3 linked regions of the Schizosaccharomyces pombe genome follow. The protein of the gene in region 3 interacts with the protein of the main gene of each other region in a pairwise test. Each region holds a gene or a part of one and is shown on either strand. Other genes may lie near its edges.

Region 1 (5,527 bases), 890 kb from region 3:
ATATATAAAGATTAATCGTTAACTTTATGGAAATTTATTATTAATCGTCAAACATTTCAATCCCACACGTTAAGACTCCTCGCCGCTTTTCCATAATCATCCAATATAGTGAATAACTGTGTTGTGCACTAGGCTTGTTTTTGTTTAACAAATTATGCCAAAATTCTTTCTCGTAGCGTCCCACTGCAAACTACTTACGCTGATTTATAGTACTATTGAAAGTAAGTATATTGTGTTTTGTATATCTTTCACACCTTGTTTAAACAGCAACATTGATGATTCGTTTCAAGTAAAAAACAAATGGCATAAGTATATAATTACCTTAATAGCATAGACATGACAATTCAATACTAAGCAATTTTCTTTCACCTGTGACAATCCTAGATTCAATTACTGTGGACTTACCAACGGTTTCTCCTTGTCACTATTTAACATATTGGAGTTTTACCAATCACTATAGTTGTTTACAAATTATCGTTCAAATTAGCGATACTTATAGCAAATTACGTTTTTTGGAGGTGATATTAGTAACTGACTATATAACAATCCTCCAGCGTCTTGTTCACTGCCAAATAATCGCTAACAGCGAAATTTAGATAAAAGGATATCTGGAATTGCTCTTTTGTTCTAATATAAGGATTTTTGTAGCATCGGCGTATTCTCAGCTAATTTTGTTGAAATTCCTTTAGATTGCAATCCTTACTACTAGTTTTTGCTTTCTGCTATGTCAATTCCTCATATTAATAAGCTATCCCAAGATGGGCGAGTTCGTTTTTCAAATTGGGCTAAAACTTTCTCTGCCATTTCACTTGGTTTACGATGCCCCAAAACAGAAGAACAATTAAGAGAGGTAATGCTTTTGCCCTTTTGGACGTAGCGTAAGAAAACTGGGTTTAAGAAGACTTGTAAATTTGTTTAAAGTTAGCTTTACATCTGTCCTTAGTTTCTAGTAGTTCATGATGCTGCTTTGGCTATCAATCCTTTTCCCCCTTTTTTTTACATTTCTATAGAAATTAATTAGTTCGCTTGCTTCTAACATTATTATTTTTAGATTCTAGTAGATGCAAATTCGAATGGAAAAAAAATTCGAGTTGTCGGTGCTGGCCACTCGCCATCAGACATTGTCTGCACTTCTGGCTACCTTTTGTCATTAGATAAAATGAATAAGGTTGTCTCATTTGACCCTGATTCCCTTAGTATTACCGTTCAAGCCGGTATCAGATTTTACCAAGTACAAGAAATCCTTCAGAATTTGGGATATTCTCTTCCCATCGTTGGTAGCATCTCTGAAACTTCTGTAAGCGGAATCATGTCCACTTGTACCCATGGTTCTAGCTTGCAACATCAAGTGCTTCCTCATTATATCAAGTCAATGCGTATTATGCTCGCCGATGGATCTATTGTAACCTGTTCTCGAGAGCTACAGAAAGACATGTTTGCTGCTGCTCAAGTTAGTTTGGGAGCATTGGGTGTAATTGTTGATATTACTATCTCTGTTGTACCAGCTTTTGATTTGGTCGCCACGGAAGATGTTACTACTGTCACTGATTTATTTCAAGATTGGAAAAACAACCTGATTTGGGAATCTGCTGAATTTGTGCGTGTTCATGTATTCCCATATGCTAATCGAGCTGTTGTTTGGAGAGCCAACAAAGTAGAACCCAATACTGTTCCTCACACACCTAAGCCATCACTCTTTCGCTTGAAGCTAGATTCCTTTGTCTATCAATGTTTACTTTTTGTGGGTAAATGTGTAAATAGAGTTACGCCGTATTTGGAGCGTTTTTGGTTCAAATGTCATTATGGTTCTAAGCTTGGCACGGCTTTGCAGGTGGCTGGCCCTGGTTTTGATGTTTTGCAAATGTTCTGCTATTTTTCACAACATGTTAGTGAATGGGGTATTCCTCTTGAATCTGCCCCCGATGCCCTTGAGAAACTGATAAATTATACTGTTGATGATGCTGGAAAGATAGGCGCATATACTCATTGGCCTATTGAGGTTCGCGTTTGTGCTCCCACTCCAGAGGATGAATGTTGGCTTTCTACTGATTGTAAAGTACCCACCTGTTATATCGAAGCAATCATGTACCGCCCTTTCTCTACTTCAATTAACTATAAACCCTACTTCAAAGCCTTAGAGGATATCGCAAATCAGTATAACGGAAAACCTCATTGGGCTAAGGAATACAGTTTAACTAAAGAGCAGTTACTTGAACGCTATCCAAACCTTTCAAAATGGCTTTCCCTTCGTAAACTTCTTGATCCAAAAGGCGTTTTTTGGAACGATTACCTACAACGCCATCTCGGTTAAATCGAAACTATAACCCAACTTTAGTAATCATTATCCCTACTCAATTTATTCTTGTTATTTTGTCATACTTGATACACACATATTGGAACTGACTTTTAATTAAATTAGGAGACAATTTTTTTATATTAGTGTAGCTCCCTATTTTTAAAACATTACTTTTTACTTAATGTTCTGGGTATGGTATTTTAGATTAGGTATATTTGCAATTTCTTCTTGAATGCTATAACAAAGAAAAACTTAGGATCGTAACTAATAAATAAACATTTCCTCACTTTTGATCAGCTTCAACGACTTTTAGTACGTAAGATTACAATTTCTAAACATCCTCTTATTCGACTCCCTGAATTTCTTTCTTGTACTGTATCTCAAAGCTGTTTTAAAATAAAACAATTTGTTAACGCTAACTGTCTACTTTTCATAAAAAACAATTTTTATTATAAATACAATCACTTCTCACTCAATGTTAACAAGTTAACAACTGAGTTTCGCTAGTGAAAATTTTGCAACCTTATATCCAATTCTGGAAAATAATACTGAATAATTCTGTTTATAGTAATTTTTTTGGATGCTCTCTTATACCTCTTGTGCGAAACTAATTTGTTCAAGATATATAGTTTCCAAGATCTCATTTTATTCACTGAAAAGATGTAATTCCACTGCTGTAGTCCGGACTAGATTCGCTCCTTCTCCTACAGGGTTCTTGCATCTTGGATCTCTAAGAACAGCTTTATTTAATTACTTGTGGGCCAAGAAATCGAACGGGAAATTTATTTTGCGCCTAGAAGACACTGATCAAAAGCGAAAAGTAACGGGTTCAGACTTGGAGATTTATAAAGTACTAAAGCAGTTCAATCTTCAATGGGATGAAGGACCAATCGTCGGTGGTCCCTATGGTCCTTATGAACAGTCGAGCCGTTTACAAATTTACCAAAAGTATGCTCAGCACTTAATAGAAACTGGGAGAGCCTATGTATCTTATTCGGTCCCTATCGCTACTACCAAAATTGATTCATCTACAAAATATCATGAAATATCAATTGATGACTTGACTGATGCTCAAAGAAAGCTTTATAAATCTAAAAAATTCCCTTACGTTGTTCGATTCCGAATGAAGGAACCTTCACCATTCACTGATTTGGTGTATGGAAAAATTGCAATAAAATCAGATTCCAGAGAAATAGAGGAATCTAATAATTTTGTAATTTTAAAATCTGATGGATTTCCCACATACCATTTTGCCAATGTCGTTGACGATCATTTAATGCATATCACTCACGTTATTAGAGGAGAGGAATGGGTACCATCTACGATTAAGCATATACAACTTTATGAAGCATTTGGATGGAAACCTCCCAAATTTGCTCATCTTCCACTTTTAGTCAACCCTGACGGGTCAAAGCTCAGTAAGCGACAAAATGATGCACATGTATCTAGTCTTCTTCAAGAAGGGTTTCTTCCTGAAGCAATTCTTAATTTTATTGCCTTAATGGGCTGGTCTTCGCGTCAGAAAAGTGATTTTCTCCCGATGAAAGAACTTATCGATCTGTTTTCGATCGATAAACTAACAAAGAGCTCCTCAATTGTTGCCTTTGAAAAGCTTTACTTTTTAAACAAAAATTACCTGAGGAGAGCGATATCAGATGTTAACAGACTCGATGAGCTTATCGAACTGGTTCAGCCGAGGTTGATCCAAAAGTTTTCTCATTCTTCTAGAAGTCATGACAAAAGTTACACTAAAAAACTCTTGCTACTTTTAAAAAATAAAGTGCACACGATTAAGGAGTTTGAGAAGATAGTGTTCTATTTTTATGAGGCATCTGACCTTCAACAAATTAGAAGTTTAGTTTCCTCCCTCATCACGGTAGAAGAGCTTCCAAAAATTTTAACAACAATTTTAAACAAGTTCGAAACCATCGAATGGAATACTCATGAGATACAGATTAGTTTAAAAGAAATTGCCATGGAGCATCAGATGCCTTTGAAAAAAATACAGTCTTTACTTCGATATGGCTTATGTGGAAATCTGCCTGGAGGAGGTATTAGCGATACTATTAGTTTATTGGGGAAGGAAACAGTAAAATCCCGTTTGGAGCGTTTACTATTATCACTAAAGCATGAATTACCCAAAAGAAGTTGTATCGTATAATTCTAACTAACCAGATACAATCGTTTTTTCTTTGATACTTTTGATGCAGAGAATATAATAGCATTTTTATCAATCGTATATCTACAATGCGTTTTACGGAAAGGAACTTTATGCACAAATATAAATTCTCATTAGATTAGCTACAAAAAAAAGCAAGTAGCATCATTCAACAAATTTGTTGTAAGCAGTAAATGTTCAATAACTTTCAAAGTGAAATATAAAATCAAATTCACTGATTTTCTTTATGTAAAAGCAAATTATTAGTTTGCTTACAGTACTAGTTGACTTCCCAGGATAGTAGTCAGATAACTAGATCCTTCACTGTAATGTCTATTGAAAGCAAATGTATCTTATTAAAAACTTAGTGAGTTATTCGTTTTCGTTAAATATTGTTATAAAAATTTACGGTAAAGATTCGTATTTAAAACAACGCTATGCAACGAAGTATTGTAATGCTACTTACTGTAATGTGTCAAACTGAAAGACACTATCAATGCTGTCCCAGATGGACATTCTAAGGGCTGAACTTCTTACTACCAGGTACGACAGAATATACTTCAATGTCGGCTCAGAAAAGGGTGTTTTTAAAGGTTGTTATATTAGGAGATAGTGGCGTTGGAAAAACATGTTTAATGAATCAGGTATGTTAATGCTAGGGGAGTTGCTGATGTGGTCGACGTATCGTACAGACGAGCTTTTTTAAGCATTACCCTCGAATTCAACCATTGATGGTGTAGTGGTTATCAATTGAAGCGTTAAATTTTATACGTTCAGTATATTTTTCTTTTTGGTTTTTGTATTGAGCTGTAAAATCCAATACTGCAATTTCCCATTGATTTTATGTCGATAAGTTGTTATTTGTCGCTACAAGGTGATTGCTTTTAAAATTTATTCACTTTGTTATTAAATACTAGCTCAAATATGGTTAACGATCTTTACATCAGCTTCTCTATGAGTATTGCTTTGGCAATTTGTTAACATCGTCATTTTAGTTCGTCAATCAAAAGTTTAGTCGCGAATATAAAGCTACCATCGGTGCTGATTTTTTAACCAAGGACGTTGTGGTTGAC
Region 2 (5,178 bases), on a different chromosome or scaffold from region 3:
AAAAAAATCACTTTCCAGGCATTAAAAAAATAATCTTTCAATTCAGTGTCATAACGTTTCCAGGGCCTTTCATCTTTGCAGCCTTCAATAAAGATTGTCAGATAATGTAAAAACTTTACATGTTACGAGGAAACTAAATAAATTGATAATCTAAAATATATGTTTAAAAGAACTTAAGCCTATCAAACACTAAGCTTAAAAACTTGGAATGGAGAGTAAGGAATCCTCATTTTCATATTTGTGAAGTTATGCTCAGACGATAAGGCTGAAATATCGCGAAAAAATCTCCAAAAAATGGACTTAATCCTTTCAAAATAACATACGAAGAACAAAGTTGGTTATAATAGCTGCCAACAAAACAAAGCAGAGAATGGTAGGTCCCAATCGATCATCGTAAGGACCACTTCCGCGTCGTCGAATAGCAGATGCTCTCCAGTGGTAAATACCAAGAGCATAACCCATGGTACCAATAGCAACAATAGTGAAAAGTCCTGCACTAATCTTACCAATTCGATCACCAAAGTTAAGTAAACCAACTGACAAACCACCCAAAACTACTGCAAAGCTCAACCAAGAAAGGAAAGTACGTTCATTAGCGAAAAAAACTTTAGGTTCAACACGAACAGGAAGAGCAATTCTTTTACCAGGAGTAGTTTGTAAAAGAGGTTGAGTAGACATTGTTAGTGGAAAGAGTGAGCTATAAATCGAAGGTTTTTTCTCCTCGCGAGATTAAGTATGTGCTGGCTGTGAGTTGTGGTTAAGGTCAGCTGTGTCGAACGGCCTAGAAATTTTTTTCGTATCTTACTACGGTAAGTCTCGGTAAGTTAATTAGCAGATTTAGCGAGACTAAATTCTTCAAATTTTGCATTATCAAATTCGCTTCTTCGCTAACCAGAAAGCTAATGAAGATATACATTTCATTTCATTTAAGGACACGAGGATATGTAACTTTTCCTACTTAATCCTATCATGTTTAGAGATAAAAGTTGTAAAATAAGTTAAACTACACTAATAAGCATTGAAAATTTTCAAAAGTTATCATCACTTAAGACTATTATTTATCATAAAAACTCCGAGATATGAAACTAGCAAATACTGTATCAAGGGAAGAATATAATTTATAAAAAATTTGTAAGTGACTAAGAAATCGTCTTGAAATCAGACACACTTAATATAAACGAATGTTGACAAGACAAGACTCTTGTTTTCCTAAGAAGATTGGTGAATAAAATCTATATAGCAAAGGTAAAATAGGATAAAGGCGTGTAATAAACTTGAATATATAGAAGTAATTTTCCAACATCAGTTGAGCTAAAAATACAACAAAACATAACTCGTAAACTTATTTTGAAAAATGCTTTGAAACACTTAAATTTGGTAGTCATTAAGAGCAACACAAACAGCAGCTTTGTGATGACCCGAATACTGACGGATTGTTTCACCACTCGATAACTCCCAAAGCCTTGCAACATGATCAGAAGATGCGGTTACTAAGTAGGTAGAATCAGCAGAAAACGCACAATCCCAAACCCATCTTTGATGCCCTTGAAGTCGTCTCTCAAGCATAAATGACATATCCTCCGTACTCCATATATTCACTGTAGCATCGGCAGAACATGTAGCAAGGTGTTTGACATCAGGAGACAAGACGCAGCGAGTGATATAACGCTGATGAGCTTGAAATTTGACAACGGGCTGAAGCAATGAAGCACCCTGATGATTTAGCATTCGCCAAACGTAGCAGTTTCCTTTGTTGTTCCCAGCAATAAGCATACTACCATCAGATCCAACAGTAATGCTGCTCATAGGTACATCTTCTTCCGGAATAAGTTCGTGTGTACAAGAATTCTCTCCTAAATCCCATGCACGAACTCGTCCACTTTGGTCGCATGAAAGCAGTTCACCTTGATTTGGATGAATTAACAAGTCATTAACAGGAGATTTATGATCATAGTTTCGCTGAACTGAAGGGGCTCTCATATCCCACACCTTTACTGTTCCATCCTCGCTCGATGTGGCAAGCCATTTACCATCACAATGAAAAGCGATGGCTGTAACATTATTGGTGTGCCCTTCAAAGGTCATTAATGGCATTTGACTACTAGTGTTTATGTCGTACAATCTTACATGAGGATTTCCGGCGGCTGCTAGAAACTTCTTATCAGGTGAAATACATAAACGATTTACCTGAGAGTCCGCATGTTGTATTGTTCTCGAGCATATTCCACTTAGGGCTTCCCAAAATCTAATGGTATGGTCATATCCACTGCTGACGAGCAGAACAGAATGTTGTGGTGGATACTGTACTGACATGTGGTTAAAGAATGGAGCGCTGTTATACTGTAGTTATTAAACAAACTCGAATACAGAGAGAATTAATGACTGAAAATTTTTAAAATCAATTAAATATGTTTATATTATATATTTAGTAAATTTTTTGTAGCATGACTTGTAAACGCACGATTGGCGATCTATACTTTAAATCTACAGCCATCAAAACTTTAAAAAATTTAACAGTTTTGACCATAAAAACAGGAAAATTCATAGAATAATAGTAAATTCATGTTAATTTAATTTTTTAAAAAATTGCGCCTGCAATAAGTAGCATAAGCATAAGTGTAAAGATAAACTGGTATAACTAAAATATTATACAGGACGAAAGGTTAAGGCAAATTTTTAAGCAACAAAGACATCATTGCTGAGTTGAACGACATTTAAACCTAGATAAATGTCGATTTGTAAATAGTTTATAATAACTATCCTAACTATTAAAACCAACAAGGTTCCGAAAGACGTATAACAGAAACGGACAATAATGGATAAAAAAGATCATAAAAGCAAAATATGGTTTAAAATTCTGAAAGCCAAAATTATTTACGCTTTCGGTGCATGTGTTGCAAGTTGAGAAGTAGTGCTCTATTAAAGTCCCATTCAGAGAGCAAATCTTTGAGCAGTAAACCAACTTGATCATATTCATCCATAGCATATGTCTGCATAGCTGTATTGTCTCCTTCTTGAATATATGAGCTGATAGACTCATGAGTTTCCATCATTACAGAGTGCAACTCGTTAAAAAGACTGCGCAAATTTTCTTTGCACATGATCCTGGGGAAAGGTTTGCTAGTAGTGTTATGTTGATTACGGTTGACCGATTCAACTGAAAACTTTAAGATGTCAACGAGACGAACCATCGACACAGACAATGCATTAGAGAGGTCACCTACCTCCCGGTGAACAATGAGCCATGAAGACCTTTCAGCTAAAAATGAATCAACCGGAAACGATAGTATGCAACATAGAACTTGCTTAGAGATTATAGTTAATTCATAATAAGCAGTTTTGATGTGATTGAGAATTTGGGTGGATTGGTCATCAAAGTCTTGGTTTTCTTTACGGGCTAGGTACATGGAACTCCGTTTTAAGCTTGTTGAGGAACCTTTTCGGAGGTCAAACGAATTTAATTTACCAAAGCAATTTGGAAGTCTATATAGTGATAATAGGTTTCTAAGGTTGGAAGCAGCTGCATACGGATATATTCTTGACAGAACCAGCTGGTATCTAGGTAAAAGCTTCTCATACAAACCAGACAGTTCGTAACTTAAAGTATTTTGTTCCGTAAGATTAAACAATAAAGGATCATTGGCAGGAAGGAAGTCCATTAACCGGGAGCGATTTGCTGCCGAATTTGCTTCCAATTCACAAATTTGGGAGTAAACACGATTAGATGTAGTTTCAAAATCATGCAATAGATTGACAAACTTATTTAAGCTGGATAATCCCATAATACGAATAAAATATGTCCAGCAATGACAAATCCGTATGAGCGAAGAGAAGCAAATATAAGATAAGGCTATTATCTTCACAAACTTTAGATAATGAAGACTTGCCATTGCAGATGATAATTTGTATAAAACAAAATCTATTACAATTTGTAAGCTCAGCAGATAGGCGAAGTATCTCCAAAACTTGCTCGTAGAACTGAACGATGAAGAAGGATAAACCAAAGAAGGCTGTTCTTCATGATGTGACCGCTGTAGCTCGTGATCTCCTACGAGGAGTTCAGATGTATAAATAATGTACTGAATGCTGTCAAAAAAATATTCGTTTTCTCGATCTTGTAAGTTTAGATTAACCGACCCCTGAAAATGTTCATTAGCATATTACAATAACTCAAACTATAAAATCAGACTAACCATTATGCAAGGCCATAGATAAATTGCCAAAAAAGAGATAAACCGATGCCATATAGCAAAAGCGTGCATGGAAATATACACTTTGTATCGAGTCCTCAGAGATGAATACAACCCTAGTGTATTGTGTCAGACAAGAAAGAAAGTCGAAAAGAACAGGAAAGCTTTTGTCTTACCATCGCGAGATAGTTGAGTATCTACGTTCATATCAAACCGTTCAGCCAAACATGGAAAGGCTTTGCTTGCGACACCCTGATAGACAGGAATTTTTTATACAGATGTAATGACAAACAATATGCTTTAAGCAGCAACTTAATTGTAGTTTAAAATCATATAGAAATACTTAAAATCAATGAGGGTTTGCACTTCAGGATAATGGTAAATGAAAATCACACTTCACGAAAATAAAACGCGTAAACCGTTAATCTTCAAAACTAAATAATACCGCTCAAATTACGCTGTTTTTCCGCTAATGTTCATAAGGGAAATGTTTGAATTCCGTAAAACTGTTAAGGATGCGCAGGGTGATGGTAAAAGATTTGATAGTATATGTTTATTTTGCAGAAATATTCGCCTTGACTATATACAAAGTACTTTTATAAACTAAATAGTGTTAGAAAAGTATAAAGAGAAGCTTCGATAGAAAATTATTTCAAGGTTAAAATGAATAACTCGTTGCATCAAATTAGTTTGAGGTGAAAGGAAGGATATGATTCGTAGAACTGCTAATTCTTCCTGAGAATGGTAAATGAACGGAAAGCGATTTTTGCAGTTTGAACACGATTTGATACATGAGAGCAATACAGTAATATTGTATATACAGATGGAGATAAGATTTGGTTGCGATTTAAATGGCAATGAAATAAAGATCTAATAAGATAACCATTAGTAAATTCTTAGCGAACCATGCTTTCCCACCTGCTAGTAGAAGATGTTTGCAATTCAGTAAACAAAGGTTATGAAAGTCACCAGTATAGCTAAATTAACA
Region 3 (6,629 bases):
TGGTGCTGTTACTGGTCACGTTGGTTGGTATTTGGGAGCCTATGTTAGTTCATTCTTAAGTAGCCCCTTTTTTGTAGAAACGCAATATGCTTATCAAAAGGCAAACCCCAACAGTATCGCTTTTCTTTATGATTTGTCTCAATCTTCTAATGGAACTTTGTACATGCGTGCTTATCAGTTAACTCCAGAGTTTATGGCTGCCCATGAGGAAAAAACTTGGACCGCCTCCTCCCTCAATAGCCACAACTTGACTCCTTCCAATGTTATCCGTGAACTTCCTATTGTTATTCACAACTCTCATTTGGCTACCTGTTTGCTCCACTCTCTTAGTGAGCCTCCTACTCCAGCTTCTACCCTAACCGCCGAAGCTGCTCTTGAAGATTGTGAAAGCAACTTACCCTTGACTGAAACGTTCAGTAACTTTGAGGTTAGTTTGGGTACCAGATATAGAAAGAATATTGAGTTATTATTGGAGTCTACTGATGAGTTTCATTATGAGCAAGGAAATCTTGGATTTCATCAACGTCAACTCGCAAGAGAGCAAGCTAAAATTCAACAGTGGATTGCTAAGCGTAAGGCCGAAAATGCAAATCGTGCTGCCGAAAATTTACAACCTTTACCTTTAGACGATTGGAAGCGAATCTTCAAGCTCCCTGCGGAGCCTCGACTTCTTGACTCTCTATTGATTAGCTCTCAAATTATGAAGTCTACTCAAATAGATGAACAAAGTTCTGCTTTCTTGTCTAAGCTTGCCGGTGTACGAAACGCTTATGCTTCTTAAGCTACTGATTGGTAATAATCGCTTAAATTTAGCGCTAATTATTTGTGAATCTGGTTGAAAATTTTTAAGGACTTTGATCTCTGTGAAGCGGTTGCATGTATTTGTTTATAAAAAATGGAGCATTCTTCTTCACTCTCACTAGTTATACCTCGTAGCATTAAAATAAAAGGATCTACTTAATTATAAAAGTTGTTTTGGTTTTCTTGATACAGCATATTGGTTTGTTGAAATACAATGTGCAAAAATATACCATGATTGTAATTATAAGAAACAGTTTAATCTTCAATAGTGCATTCAGTTGCTGGTAATCTACTTGTTTATCGTATTCGAGTTTTAGGTTACATTGCTAATTTAATATATTTTCGGGCCCTTATACAACATCGAAACACTTTTCTATTAATAAAATATATTGTTAAATTTTGTTTTCTCTCTGTTAGATTATTTAAAAAAAAAATCGTAAATATTGCCGAGACCTTTTTGTTTGTTTTGACTTGCTTCACGTTACAATGTTGACTTGGCCAAAACCAACAAATTCCAAATTCATTCAATTCGCAACTTGCAATGGAAGTTCCTTCTGCAGTTACCCTAAATAATTATGTGGGTATGAAAACAAAAGAATGTTGATAAAGAGTCAAAACTAATGTTTATAGGGTTCGATTCTATCACTTCGCAAATTAACCGCAAGTTAATTCGTCGTGGTTTTCAATTTAATGTAATGGTGGTTGGTACGTATTATTTTTATTACAGATTTTCAATTATAATGATGTTAACAGTTTCAAATAGGACCGTCAGGTAGCGGAAAAAGCACTTTGATTAATACTTTATTCTCTGCGCACTTGATGGACAGTAAGGGTCGTCTGGATTACCAAGCTCCTTATCGCCAGACAACTGAAATCCATGTTACAAGCCAAGGTATGTTGATTTTTTTATAGTTAGGTTTTCATCTTTGATTGAACTCATTGAGCTGGCTTCAATGAGTCAGCAATCCTTATATTTATTATGGTTACATTGCTAACCACATAGTCGTTCGCGAGAACCGTGTTCAATTACAATTAAATTTAATCGACACTCCTGGATATGGAGATCAAATTAATAACGATAAATGGTAAGTTTGATCAGTGGAAATGGAAATTTCTATTCCTGCACAGCAATTTCTAACTATAATAGCTGGGAGCCTATAATTAAGTACATTAGGGACCAACACTCTTCCTATCTTCGTCGTGAATTAAATTCACATCGCGAGAAACGTCTACAAGACACAAGAGTACATTGTTGTTTATTCTTTATTCGCCCAACTGGACATTCTTTGCGCCCTATTGATATTGCTGTCCTCAAACGCTTAACAGAAGTCGTAAATGTTGTGCCTGTTATCGCTAAGTCTGATTCATTGACTCTTGAAGAAAGAGCAGCATTTAAGCAGCAAATCCGTGAAGAATTTGTTAAACACGACATCAATTTGTATCCTTATGATTCTGATGACGCCGATGAGGAGGAAATTAATCTAAATGCTGCCGTCCGAAATCTTATTCCTTTTGCCGTGGTCGGTTCCGAAAAAGCCATTATCGTAGATGGAAGGCCTATTCGTGGTCGTCAAAACAGATGGGGGGTTGTCAATGTGGATGATGAAAACCACTGCGAGTTTGTTTTTCTTCGTAACTTTTTGATGCGAACTCATCTTCAAGATTTAATTGAAACGACCTCATACTATCATTACGAGAAATTCCGCTTTAAGCAATTGAGCAGCTTAAAAGAACAGTCTTCCCTCGCAACTAGAATGGGAAGTCCCGCACCTGTGTACCCTTCTGAACCACATCTCCATACAGCCACCGCTCAATAGTCTTCTTCCTAAGGTAATATATAGTATGTTTAGAACAAAGACTAAACCATTTGTATGACTGTCGTACCGTAATTCGTAAATTTCGGCTCTTTTTACACTATGCGAATCTTACAAATGAAGTGTTTATCTTATTAACGAGAGATTATATGTTTGATGCGTGATTTTGTCTAGCTATTATACAGTTCTATATCAATATTTATTGAAAAGCATCAAAATGATTTTAAAATTAAAGTACTGGTCGATTTAAGACATTGCAATCCATAAAATGTTCTAGCATCAATCTTCCGAAATGAGATTCGATTTGTGCCCGAAGTTTAAATTCTTTAGAGTTTGATGCAAAAACATTTTGTAGAGATAATACGCATAAATAGGAAGTGCGTAATACTGCAATATCTGTGCATTCTTCTTGCATTAATTGCTGTAAGCCAGAAAGAACGTCATTATTGTTTTTGGTAACGGCATGTCCTACACAATCTATAACTTTAGTAAGAGGACTTCTTGATGCTGAATACAAGTGCACATGATATTCATCTCGCCAAGCAACCATTCGTTCTCGATGCAAATCATCAGACAAGGTTGGTTGAGAGAGAATGTCCAATCCAATAGTAAACAAAGAATCCGAAACAGGTGCATGACTTCGAGAAACAGAAACTTCCGATAAAGGCTTTCCATTAAACCCCCAGATACACCCACGAGGAAGAATTGCAAAAACTAGTTCACGAACGACCATAGCAATCAATAAGCTGACATAATTTGATTTGGTAGACGAAGACCAACTTAACTTTCTAATAAAATTATTACAAAAATTGAGATCATAGGCTGGGAGATTGAGCTGAGTGAGAGTCAAAAATGCAGAAACCAACAGGTATTCAAAAGAATTGGGACCAGGCATTGGACAGCGAAGAGCTCTGGTCAAATGACTGTAAGCACCAAAAACGTCGAGCTTCTTAATAGACGCAAAAGCCATTAAAGAATTAGCAATACAAGGCATCGATTGAGCAAACTGGGGAACAGTGACTGACCAAAAATGCAAGGCTATGTTATTATCAAATTCAAATGCACAAATAGAAGGTACGACATCGTGAAAATAAAACGGAAACAGTTCGGAATTAAAGTTTGAAGGGAAATTGGAAACTGATGAAAGAAAAGGGTAAGAGGCCTGACCCACCGATTGTACAGAGGGTTTTGTAGACGAAGTAGCGCTAGAAGAATTATTTGTAGGAACGTTATGATTGGATTGAAGGTATTGATGCTGTTGATAAGCACTTGGAAATCCTTGTAAATTCATAGGTTTTTGATGATCCTGTTTGATTGGGGTAACGGTGGATAAATTGGAGGAGGAGGTCATCTGATTAAGATCATTTGTATTAAAATTGGATTGTGAAGAGCCGGAAAAAGTGTCTCCGGTTTGAGCGCTACTTGAAGCAATTGAAGTAGGTATCAATGGCTGTTGAGCAGAATGAACGCTTAGCTCAGGAGGCGATACACTCCCCATGGCTTGCATTTGAGCAGCTGAATTTGGATAACCTTCACATTCCCTATTTGTCTTTGTGCAGTTCAAACAAAAAGGTTTGGTTTCGTCGCACTTGATCCTGCGACGGCGACATGTTAAACATCCAGTTTTCGTTCTTCTTTTTGTGGGCTTGGGCGTAGGCTCGACGTTTGGGTTGGGAATATATAGCGGATTTGAATTAATACTACCCGTTCTATTCCGTTTCATATGAATTTCGGGATAAGAAACATACGGGTTCATAACTGCAAGGGAAACAATAGATAGAAAAAAAAAGAATAACAAGATAATAGGAACTAAACAAATCAAAAGTAAAGAAAGCCCGATTTGAAAACGCTACGCTGCTTGAGAAAAGCGCGCAAAGAAAAAACGCAAGCACAGAACATGAAATTGGAAGCCGATTTATACAAAATTTAAGCTCCAATTTAACAAGGAAACTAAGCACCTTTTTCGTAAAGGCCAAGAAACTCTTTGTAGTCTTTTTTTTAAAAAAGGTAGCGTTACTAACTCTATAATTATATATATATGAATACAATAAATTATTTCAGAATAACCGGACGGCCAAACTGTTCGTAATAACAAAAGAAAAAGCCCTAAAAAAACAAAAGAAGGTGAAAATCAATGGTCGTCTAGCAATTTGCTAGCAACTCTTGCACAATCAATAGGTTTATAGGAAGTGACTTGAAAACAAAACTAGCAAAAGCGACAAGCTCACCCAATTTACAAATGCAAATTTGGGTGAATAAAGGACTTAGAAAAAATGTTGGAACAACTTTCAAGTAGGAACCTCGACATTAGCGAGTGATAAGGCGGCAAATTTGATAAGCCCAAAGGCAACAACAATACTAAGAGCTTTTTATTTAGACGTTAGTAAAGTAGCTTGCTTGATACGCATTAGTACAAAAATCCAAAGAATTGAGAAAATCACGAGCCAAGCAAAAACAGTATAAGAACGATTAACTTGTTTAACCTCTAATGTTCTTTTAAAAATAAAAAAAAAACACAGATGTTTCGTTAATTTTTTGATACTTAGATTATGCCCTCATGTGTTTCATAAATAGCATTCCTTGCTTTTCGTTTTTTTCTGTTTTTTTTCTTTTTCTTTCAGACAATTTATAAAAAAAATTCTTTGCATGTACCTAAATATAGTTTGCATTCTCATTTAGGTTGATCAAGTTGGTTAATAACCACGTGGCTTCGAATATCTGTCATGTTCAGGAGCCACATGTCTCTCCATTGTTACAGCGATTTGGTTGATCTTTACATGGCTTACGCATACGAAGATGCTTCCTGCATTTTTTTTTTATTTCAAATCGTTCATTCACTCTGCACTAGCGAAAATCTTCATTCATATGCAAACTTGTCACTCTTTTATATTAACAAAATATAAACTTAAGCTTGAATACAACTGTTAGCTTTGAACGCTACACCTACCCTAGTACCCTAGTAGCTTGATAACCATAGCGAAGATCCGTGGCCTATTGTCGATCTCTGGGAAACTGTCACTGGATCAAAAGCATCATGTTTCTTCGCTCGGTAAGAAAACTATACTCCAGATTTATGAGAAAGGCACAAAAAGCATCAAAACCTATGCCAATGCAAGTCTCACAAAACCAAATTATCCACCCCTAAAGGTGGAATTGTTCGTTGTTCGTGATGCGATTATTGCTTTATCAGGATGATTGTACTTAATCTCAATCAGATCACCCCAAGGTTAGTCGGCTTTGTCAAAGGTCTTACCTTTTATTGAAATCCATATCCTCCTGTAACAATAGGGGATTCACTATTCATACCTAGTTCACCCATTTTTCTCATTTCACTTCTTAAAGCAAATAACGTATAATAACAGTATTTGTTTACTGATGAGATTAACATTACCCGATGAAGAAAACCAACTATGGTACAGCAATAGGTAGTTAAGAAAATACATGAGATCGTAAATACCAAATGTTTGCCAATTATGAGCGTGAATTAGCATTAGTTTTTTTTTTTCTTAATTCATCTGTGTTTCAATAATACGAATTAGATTGATAAGTTTTTTTTTTTTTTTTTTTTTTTTATAACTACCTAGTACTCTTCCATGATGCGAACATTATAACAACAATGAGACCAAAATATCTTTAGCGATTGGAACAACAAGGTCACATTTCGGAAAAATGATTTGCCAGGCTGAAGATTTATATTAACCAACTTGTTCTCATTAAAAGCCAAACTATTGAATTTACAAATTTGTTATACGAGCATCAATCCTATTATAATAAAATCGACTCAAGTTGAATTGTAGCACATATTATTTATTCACGAGTCATTAAAATATTAGTTTAAACGTGTCAATTATCTTCCCATTAGCGCCAAATCCAAATAAATAAATAGTGAGTAACTGATGCAACATAGTGATTCGACGAGCTAAACGTTGAAATCTAAAAGAAACTGGTGTTGTTCAACGGATTGTTATGCTGCTGGACGGGGTTTTGGTAATTGGAATGGGCCTTTTAACGTGG

The links. The genes of interacting proteins can lie anywhere in the genome.
Region 1: the proteins of moc3 (region 3) and mse1 interact in a two-hybrid assay, tested with the Schizosaccharomyces pombe proteins (2 studies listed by BioGRID).
Region 2: the proteins of moc3 (region 3) and wat1 interact in a two-hybrid assay, tested with the Schizosaccharomyces pombe proteins (2 studies listed by BioGRID).

The regions. Positions count from the first base shown.
Region 1 is NC_003424.3:1,881,401-1,886,927, reverse strand, and holds mse1 (glutamyl--tRNA (Glu) ligase Mse1), read left to right. Parts: upstream 1-2,779; 5' UTR 2,780-2,876; coding exon 2,877-4,457; 3' UTR 4,458-4,628; downstream 4,629-5,527. Other genes in the region: alo1 (D-arabinono-1,4-lactone oxidase), read left to right, coding at 725-850, 1,052-2,311; GTPase Ypt71, read left to right, coding at 5,018-5,098, 5,450-5,527. UniProt on the Schizosaccharomyces pombe protein: Catalyzes the attachment of glutamate to tRNA(Glu) in a two-step reaction: glutamate is first activated by ATP to form Glu-AMP and then transferred to the acceptor end of tRNA(Glu).
Region 2 is NC_003423.3:1,660,082-1,665,259, reverse strand, and holds wat1 (TORC1/2 complex WD repeat protein Wat1/Lst8), read right to left. Parts: upstream 2,320-5,178; 5' UTR 2,314-2,319; coding exon 1,369-2,313; 3' UTR 900-1,368; downstream 1-899. Other genes in the region: vacuolar transporter chaperone (VTC) complex, GTPase regulator subunit Nrf1, read right to left, coding at 310-678; myosin-binding vezatin family protein Inp2, read right to left, coding at 2,871-4,139, 4,194-4,306, 4,367-4,397. UniProt on the Schizosaccharomyces pombe protein: component of both TORC1 and TORC2, which regulate multiple cellular processes to control cell growth in response to environmental signals. Nutrient limitation and environmental stress signals cause inactivation of TORC1.
Region 3 is NC_003424.3:988,908-995,536, forward strand, and holds moc3 (DNA-binding transcription factor Moc3), read right to left. Parts: upstream 4,882-6,629; 5' UTR 4,372-4,881; coding exon 2,845-4,371; 3' UTR 2,725-2,844; downstream 1-2,724. Other genes in the region: tif308 (translation initiation factor eIF3h (p40)), read left to right, coding at 1-781; mitotic and meiotic (sporulation) septin Spn2, read left to right, coding at 1,343-1,382, 1,432-1,506, 1,565-1,693, 1,805-1,886, 1,949-2,618; ubiquitin ligase Slp1, read right to left, coding at 6,569-6,629. UniProt on the Schizosaccharomyces pombe protein: Induces sexual development and ascus formation. Also involved in calcium homeostasis.